2 linked regions of the Oryctolagus cuniculus genome follow. The protein of the gene in region 1 interacts with the protein of each later gene in a pairwise test. Links are inferred from orthologs where the notes say so. Each region holds a gene or a part of one and is shown in the gene's direction. Other genes may lie near its edges.

Evidence for each region. The genes of interacting proteins can lie anywhere in the genome.
Region 2: the proteins of NDN (region 1) and ZBTB1 interact in a two-hybrid assay, tested with the Homo sapiens proteins (2 studies listed by BioGRID and IntAct). The link is inferred for Oryctolagus cuniculus from reciprocal best matches to the Homo sapiens genes NDN and ZBTB1.

What each region holds. Positions count from the first base shown.
Region 1 is NC_091443.1:13,452,700-13,456,847, reverse strand, and holds NDN (necdin), read left to right. Parts: upstream 1-1,869; 5' UTR 1,870-2,002; coding exon 2,003-2,980; 3' UTR 2,981-3,551; downstream 3,552-4,148. UniProt on the Homo sapiens protein: Growth suppressor that facilitates the entry of the cell into cell cycle arrest.
Region 2 is NC_091451.1:5,938,689-5,943,277, reverse strand, and holds the start of ZBTB1 (zinc finger and BTB domain-containing protein 1), read left to right. Parts: upstream 1-1,582; 5' UTR 1,583-1,795; intron 1,796-2,267; exon of another isoform or gene 2,268-2,511; intron 2,512-2,733; exon of another isoform or gene 2,734-2,826; intron 2,827-2,846; exon of another isoform or gene 2,847-2,989; intron 2,990-2,995; exon of another isoform or gene 2,996-3,259; intron 3,260-3,278; exon of another isoform or gene 3,279-4,589.

The sequences.
Region 1 (4,148 bases):
AGACAAAGAAGAGACAGAAACAGAGACAGGAATCTTCCATCCTTCCATCTGCTGCATCACTTCCCAAATGGCTGCAAAAGCTGGGGCTGTGCTAGGCTGAGGCCAGGAGTCATGAACTCTGTCCTGGTCTCCTACATGGGTGGCAGAGGTCCAAGTACCTGGGTTGCCATTCATTTCCTTCTCAGGAGCATTAGCAGGATGCTGGATTGGAAGCTGTGCATCTAGGACTGAAACCCACCACTCCGACATGGGATGCCAGCATTGCAAGTGGCAGCTTAACTCACTGCACCACAATGCTGCCCCTCTAGATCTGTTTTCTATACCTGTGAAACATGGTCAACCATATGTTGCATCTCATACTTTGAGAGAAACTACCAGATATTATCTATGGGACTTACGCTTAAAAAAAGTATTGAAAAGGATGTAGGTGAGGCTCCCATTGCAGACAACTCCATTGCTCTCACTTACGATCCTGTGAGATGGTAAAGATTCCACATGGACACTGAGTGGAAAGAGCAGCAGTAGGGGGAATAAAGGATCTGAGGAAACAGGGAAAAGGACATTATCAAACAAGTTGTGCTAATAATTACAGCAATCTTTATCCTATAGAAACCTGATGAAAAGTTAAAATGGAATCAAAGTGACCCAAGGGAAGATGAAAATCAAAATCCATAATCAAAAGACTAATGAATCAACATAAGTAGCTATTTATAGATGAATGAATGAAGGAAATGTGGTATATACACACAATGGAACACTATTCAGCCAGAGAAAAAGAATGCCATCAGTCAGTTGAGGTAACACCAATGAGCCTGGAGGACAATATGTTAATCGATATGCACCAGGCACAGACAGACAAATACTACATGTCCTCACTCACATGTAGAAAGCTAAATAAGTTGGTCTCATGGAAGGTGAGATTAGAAAACTGGTTATCAAAGACTGGGAAGAAGAAGAGAAAGGGAGACACAGAAAAGTCAATTACATGCTACATAAATACAATTAAATGCAACAAAAAAATTTCCAGTGTTCTGTATCACATTAGGTGATTATAATTAACAATACTTTAATTATATATTACAAAATAGCTATATGGAAGGATTTTGACTGTCCCGTAACACAAAGAAATGAAAATGTGGGAAGTGGTGGATATGCTAATTACCCTGATTTGATCAATACACATCATATATATTTATGGAAATAGCACCCTGTTCCCCCAAAATATGTGCAATTATTATGTCAATTAAAAATGTAAAAATACACAAAAAATGTCAAAGTTGTTTTAAACCCATTATCTCCAGCATCATTCACATTTTGCACGGACTGATAGGGAATTTACCAATTCTGCATTCCTCCTTATTTTATACTCTTCCTCCTCCTACTCTCGGAATTTTGTAGGGAGAGACTTCATCAACTCTTACTGGTATTTCCCAGGATTCCAGTCTCAGATCTTCCCAAAGTTCGCATATTTTCTTAGAGAATCCCAACTATTCACATTCTCTTGAGGAATCCCAGCTGCTCCTCTCACTTGGTCGCAGGAAACCGGGAGCTCTCTCTGGGACGCTCCTGTCACACTTAGTCCTGGACAAACCCAGGTGGACCCTTGTAAGAAACTCTACCTCACCACGTGGGAAACTGAAGTTACCATCTTCCCCTTTAAACTTGCCCCTTCCTCAGCGACCACCCAGCCCCTCCTGCCCTCCCCAAGGCCGCCTCGTCCACGCAGGAAACCCGGGGTCATTCCCATCAGGCCAGCAGCGGCTCCACCTCAGACCCTCGCCGTCGGGCGCACAGCCCCTCCCCTCCCGCCCAGTCCGAATCGCGCGGCCCGCGGACGCGCAGGCGCAGTGTCCCGTCGTCCCGCCGCCGCCCCGCCCTGCCCGCCGCTGCGGAAGGCGCCGCGCGCAGCTACGCGCACTTCCTCTCAGGGAGACCGCGGAGGGAACGCAGGCTCGAAGAGCTCCGGGACGCTGAGGCCCTGCTCCTGTCAGACGGCGCAGACATGTCGGAACAAAGTAAGGACCTGAGCGACCCCGACTTGACAGCCGAGACCCCCAGCCGCGAAGTGCACAGCAGCCCAGGGGTTCCGGCGGGGGGCCCTGCGCCCGTCTCCCCTGCAGCGACCCTCGCAGGGCCACAGAGCCCTCCTCCAGGCCCGACGGCGCTCTCACAGCCCGAGCCGCCGCCCCAGGCCCCGAGCGATGAGGATGACCCGAAGGCCCTGCTGCAGGCAGCTGAGGAGGGCCGCGCCCACCAGGCCCCGAGCGCGGCCCAGCTGGGCCCCGCGCCGCCCGCCCCGGCCCAGCTGGTGCAGAAGGCACATGAGCTCATGTGGTACGTGCTGGTCAAGGACCAGAAGAAGATGATCATCTGGTTTCCAGACATGGTGAAAGATGTCATTGGCAGCTACAAGAAATGGTGCAGAAGCATCCTCAGGCGCACCAGCCTCATCCTCGCCCGAGTCTTTGGGCTGCACCTGAGGCTGACCAGCCTGCACACGATGGAGTTTGCGCTGGTCAAGGCTCTCGACCCCGAGGAGCTGGACAGGGTGGCACTGAGCAACCGGATGCCCATGACAGGCCTTCTGCTCATGATCCTGAGCCTCATCTACGTGAAGGGCCGAGGCGCCAGAGAGAGCGCCGTCTGGAACGTGCTGCGCATCTTGGGGCTGCGGCCCTGGAAGAAGCATTCCACCTTCGGGGACGTGAGAAAGCTCATCACCGAGGAGTTCGTCCAGCAGAATTACCTGAAGTACCAGCGCGTACCCTATGTTGAACCTCCGGAGTATGAGTTCTTTTGGGGCTCCCGAGCCACGCAAGAGATTACCAAGATGCAGATCATGGAGTTCCTGGCCAGGGTTTTTAAGAAAGATCCCCAGGCCTGGCCTTCCAGATACAGAGAAGCTCTGGAGGAGGCCAGAGCTCTGCGGGAGGCCAGTCCCAGTGTCCACTGCCCCCGAAGCAGTGTGTCTGAGGACTAGTGAGGTCTGGAGGCAGATTGATGGTTTCCAACCCCCACCAGGGCTGTGGAAGGGTGGGGGGCAGGTCTTAGAGTATTCAGGATTTACAGTGCAGTATTTCACGTGTAACCTTTCAGTTATCAGTACAGTGCTTTTATACCTTTTAATGCAATGTTGTATTCATTTGGGTACTATCAAGTAGTGTCTAGCATTTATGCATGTTTGTTTATAAGTAAGCTCTGTTGGTGCTTCGCTTTTGTGCTACCTTTCTTGGATTTTTTGTACCAGAGATGTGCTAAACTTATGAAATACATTGAGAAGTTTTCCATCTTATTCTTTTATATGGGACGATTGATGTGTACTGTATGATTGATGCACCTGGTGAGTGTGGAGAACTCACCAGCAAAGCTGGCCTAACCAAGAGAAAAGCCTAAGGCCCCTCTTTATGACCTTGATGGGCATGAGCAACATCTGGAGTGAACTGTTTTGAACTGAGATGGTCTCAATGTGGGCACTTGGCACACTTTACTAAACACATATACAACCTACCATGAGTAAACTTTAAACATTAAAGATTCTTGTGATACAATCATTTTTGGAGAACTGTACTCTATCATTTTAATAAACGGTATCATAGGGAATGAGAAGGGATTCCCCATTGTACAAAATATGCAAATACTTCATGATTAATCCTAAATGTGTATTTATATTGTATTATAAATACAACTCATATTTGTTTCAAAAGGTTTGAGAAATACAGAATGTGTAATGTCCCCAAAACAAGTAAAATTTTCCACAATCATAACACAAGGAAATAGCAATTGATCATATTTAAGATAATTTCTTGCCTTCATTTTCTATACTTTATCAAAGTTAATAGCTGCCTTTAGTGGTCTCTTAAAGAGGGAGGAATAGTGTTTTGTTAACTTTTGCCTTTTATTTAGTGCCCTCACTAAATAGTCGCTTATTACATCCACACAATGGAGGAAATCAGGAACAAAGTAGGGATGAACTTTGTGTAACTCACATAGCTGAGTAAAAGAGGGTGCTAGGATTTGAACCTATGCTATGAATCTGGAGCCCACATTCGTGCCCCTCAACCTACAACTCTACCTGTACCTCCTGGTTTTAGTTTGTTTATTCATTTTTTAAAAACTTAACTTTCACTCTTAGCTCCTAATCCCAACAC
Region 2 (4,589 bases), on another chromosome or scaffold:
GCCCCTCCCTGCTTCCTAGCTCACCCCAGCTTGATGTTTCACTGCATTCCGACTACGCCCAGTCCTCAGATCTAACCTATCCCCGGTGATGCCTGACAACCGACTCCTAATGTACCCTCAATTTAAACACATCCACATCCACAGGGGCCAGCGTTGTGGCTGACAGGCAAAGCCGCCACCTGCGACACCAGCATCCCACTGTGGGTGCAGGTTCGAGTCCGGCTGCCCCACTTCTCATCCAGCTCCTGGCTAATGTGCCTGGGAGAGCAGCAGCAGGTGGCCTGAGTCCTGGGGCGCCTGCACCCATGTGAGAGACCCGGAAGAAGCTCCTGGCTTCAGCCTGGCCGTTGTGGCCGTTTGGGGAATGAACCAGCGGATGGAAGCACTCTCTCTCTCTGTAACTCTTTCAAGCGAACACATATCCAGATTGCAAAAGACAGCTTCCAAGCCTTTATCCTAAGGAATTAAACTACACTGCAAACGTTATTCTGGCAGCGAATCGGGCTGAATCTGGGGAGGGCGGGGGTAGGGGAAGGGGCTTCAGGCTCTCAAGCACCTCCCGCCTGGACACGGATGCTATCAGTATGCGAAGGCCAAGGCCAGCACGCAGGGACCACGGCTGACTTCCCAAGCCCAGTGATCCTCCGGCAGACGCCACCCCGGCGCGGAGTGGGGTAACTGGCGTGGCCGAGTCTAGGACCAGGCAGCGCGCAGCGGCCCCTCCATCCCGCAGGGGCCTTCGTCTGCAAAACCACGGGGACAACCCGGATTTTCCACACGCCCCCTCTCAACTCCGAAGTGGGAATCCCGCGGGAGAAACACCACCTCGGCCAAACGGACTCGCGGCTCCGGAAAAAAGCCGGCCAAACGGGAGCCGTCGCCCGCGGGCGCGGGTGGCCGTGGGTCGCCTGAGCGGCTACTGACAGCCACGCGTGCCAGGCAAAGCGGCGGGGGGAAGCCGACCCGCTTCAGAAAGAAGCGCTGGGCCGGCTTCAGGGCGAGACCAGCGACGGCGTGGGGGCAGCTTCCTGTGCGGTGGGCGGGGGAGGGGCGGCGGCCGCAGCGTCCTCACGGCCCAGGAAAGGTCAGCCCCGCGGCCCCGGCCTCCCGCGCGGGCGGCGAGGGGCGACTCCGGCCTTGCTCGGCCCCCGGCAGGCATCTCAAACGGACCCCGAGCACCCCCTCTCGCCCCGGCTCCTCGCACCGTCCCGCGACCCGCGCGGCTCGCAGGCCGCCCCCGCTGGCTCGCGGCGGGACGGCCTGAGCCCCGGGGCGGCCCGCAGGGGCAGGGGCAGGGGCAGGGGCAGGGGCAGGGGCAGGGCCGCGTCGCTTACCCAGACGCCGCCGCGCCGGCGGGCCGGCTCCGCCGTGCGGGAGGGGCGGGCTCCCGCGCCACGCAAGGCACGCGGTGGCGCCAGCTCACGCACCGCCGCGGCCCGCTCTCGCGCGGCTTCCCGCGCCGGCCGCCCGGGCGCTGGGCCCACGTGACCCTGCGCCCGGCCGCGGGGCCGCGAGGGGCGCCGCGGAGTGCGTGCGTGCGTACGTGCGCGCGCGCCTGCCCGCCCGCCTGCCGGAGAGGCCGGGCGGGGGTCGGCCCGCGCTCCGGGCGCCGGCGCGGCCGGCGGTCGTGACTGTAGGCGGAAGCGTGGGGCCGCGTGTGCGCGTCACGGCCGCCCCCCACACACACAACCGCGTGACCCGGGGACTTTCCCCAGGGTGTGCAAAAGCACGGGCACCCGTCAGCTCGGGGTCGGGGTGGGGGAGGATGCGCCCGCGTGTCCGCCGCGCGACAGGGGTGAGGGCGCGGGGCCGGGGCGGCCTGGCCGCGGGAGCCCGGGCGGGGCACGGCGGGGGAGTGACTCAGGCAGGGCCGGGGGCGGGCGCGGGCCCCCCGCGCGGCCAGCCCGGGGCGCGGGGACCGGCGCCCCCGGGACGCCCCCGGCCTCCGGGCGCTGCGGAGCCGGGCTCTGACGTCTGGACGGGCGCGGGGGCCGCAGCATCCCGCCCTCGCGAGTCGGGAGGAGCCCGGGCCCGGCCAGCTGTGCAAACAGGAGGAGGAGGTCCCGAGCCCTGCCCTCGGGAAGAGGGGCGCGCGGGTGGCCGGGCCGCGCCGCGGTGCGGGTCGTGCCAGCCTCCCCGGAGCCCGACGCAGAAACTTGTTGCAGCAAACAGGCGACCGCGGGTGCCCCTAGCAGCCGGCGGCGGAGTGGGTGGGCGGGCGGGAGGGAGGGGAAGGCCTGGCGGACGCCGCAGCGAGCTGGTGGGCAGACCCGGAGTCGCCGCGTAAGCGGGGCCGGCTCAGTGCGGTGCGGCGGGCGCGGCTGTGCGGCAGCGGAAGTCCTTTGTTGCAGCACAGCCCCTGGCAGCGCCGGAGTCTCCGCGCAGCCAGCCCGAGCGCCGCGCGTCGCCGCCACTGCAGCCCGCGGCCCGCGGCCTCCGCCCGCCTTTCCCCGCGGCCGATCTGCCTTAAACTCCCTAAAACCTCCGCAGCCCCGGTTCCCGCTGCGGCCGGTGAGTATTTGCCAGCGGTGGGGCTATTTGCGCAACTTTGGCCCGGGCCGCGCGGGGCCGGGGCCGGAGTGCGGGGCGGCCGGTGCGGGGGAGCCGGACGCGCGGGGAGGAACGCCGGGCGGCGGGCGGCTGCCGGGCCTGCGGCGGGGGCTGCGGGGCGCGCCGCCTCTGGGGTCGGAGGGCGAAGCCCCCCGGTGGAGACGTGGTTCCCAAATTAGTTACCTTCTCTCCCCTGCGCCTGTGTTTTTTGGAGGGGGGGGGAGGGGAGGTGGAGGCGGGAGGGCGCGGGTGATTGACGTGCCCGGAGCCCGCTTCTCAACTCCCAGCTGCGGCTCCCGGGCGGGTGGGAGGGGAAGCGTCCCGGAGGCCGCGGCCGCCGACTCGGGCGCGCTCCGAGGGAGGAGGCGGCGGATTCTTGCTGCGCGCTTTTCCCACCCCCTCGCGCCGGCAACACATGCTGCTTGTTCCGTAGAAGTGGGTAGGTCTGGGGTTGTGTGCCCGGAGCGCTCCCGCGGTGGGCGCTCGCCGCGAAGTTGTGCGGGGCCCGGGCGCGGTGCGCGCAGGCACGGCTCCGACCCCGGCCGCCCGTTCGCGGGCGGGCAGCCTGCGGGGCAGAGGCGGCGATGGCTCGTGGGCGCCGGAGCGGGCCGGGGTCGCCGAGGGGGCTTCCCGCGTGGCAGGCTCCGCACTGGAGCAGTCCCCCCCGGGACGCTCACGCCCGAGGAGCGGTCCGAGCGAGCTCTCCGAGGTAACTTGGACTCCGGCAGCTTCTGGCGCTTTGAAGCGGATTGGGTGAGGGATGGCGGTGCTGGGGACCAACTTCAAACGCGATCGCGGTCGTCTTTGAAACGGGAGAACTCAAGTCTATGAAACTTTTTTTTTAAGGTTCATTTTATTGATTTGAAAGGCAGAGAGGGAGGGAGAAGCGGAGAAAAGCATCTTCCGTTGATTCTCTAAAGTTGTGTCATTGCAAATGGGTCTGGTCGGGAGAAAATGAGAATTGAGACAGGAAAAGGTGAGGCTGGCTGTCACGTGCTCAGAGCTTCAAGCTTGTCCTTTGAGGCCCTTGGCCGGGTCTTGACAGCGTGAATGCCTTTGGGAGCTAGCGGGAGGCTTCGTCCCGAGAAAGACGCGTGGCCGGGGGCGCGCGGGCAGCGCAGCCTGCAGCAGGAGCTGGGGCCACGTTGTCATTGCTGTCGGAGAACGGAGCAGGATGGCCTGCACTGTCAAGAGAGACGGGACTGGGAGCGCAGCGGGCGTGAGCGCAGCACAGCCACTTACTCGTGACCTTGTGTTCTGATTGCGCTTGAACGCTGTTCGGTTTCTGCAGGGTTTCCTGCGTCTCCCCTTCTGCCAGGCTCTGGAGAAGACGCGCCCCCCCCCCCCGGCCTGTTTTTTTAAGAGTCTCTGTGCGCGTTCACAAAACCATTTCCCTTTCTGCTGTGCAGGGGTGGAGGAGCACCTGCGTGCAGGCCTGTGCTTCCCTGGCCGGCTAAGCCTTTGCTGTTAACCTGGCCCAAAGGGGAGGAAATCATTCGGGATATAAATGCGGGGGAATTTCCGTAGATTTTTAATTTTTAGCTACAATATGTTGCCCCCCCCCCCCCCCCCACACACACACCAGGAGGTTTATTTGAGAAATGTTTGGTCACTTTGGTCTTTATAGAAGTTTCCTCCTGGTACTTTTCATCTTGTGCTGGTCGCTCTTATAGTGAAATTGCATTATTGTATGCTTTGGGAAACAATTAAAAGTTATGTCCTTTTTCTTAAAACGGAGATATCTTATAAACTTCAGGCACTTTGTAAAGATTCAACCTATACTGAAGTACATTACATATAAAAATGAAAGTCCTTTTGACTCCCACTCCCTCTGGGATAATCACTGCGAACAGTGAATTCCTTGTTGAACTTGAGAGAAGGCAGAGTTTGCTCACAGCCGTGTTGCTGTGTGTGCCTAAGGCCTGCCCAGGGCTGGTGTGTTGTGGTTCAGGGCTCGTGTTCTCTGTTCGCTGAGGGCAAGAATTACCAGGGAAGGGGAAAAGGGGGTGTTTTACATTGGGCTGATCTGAAATTCTGTG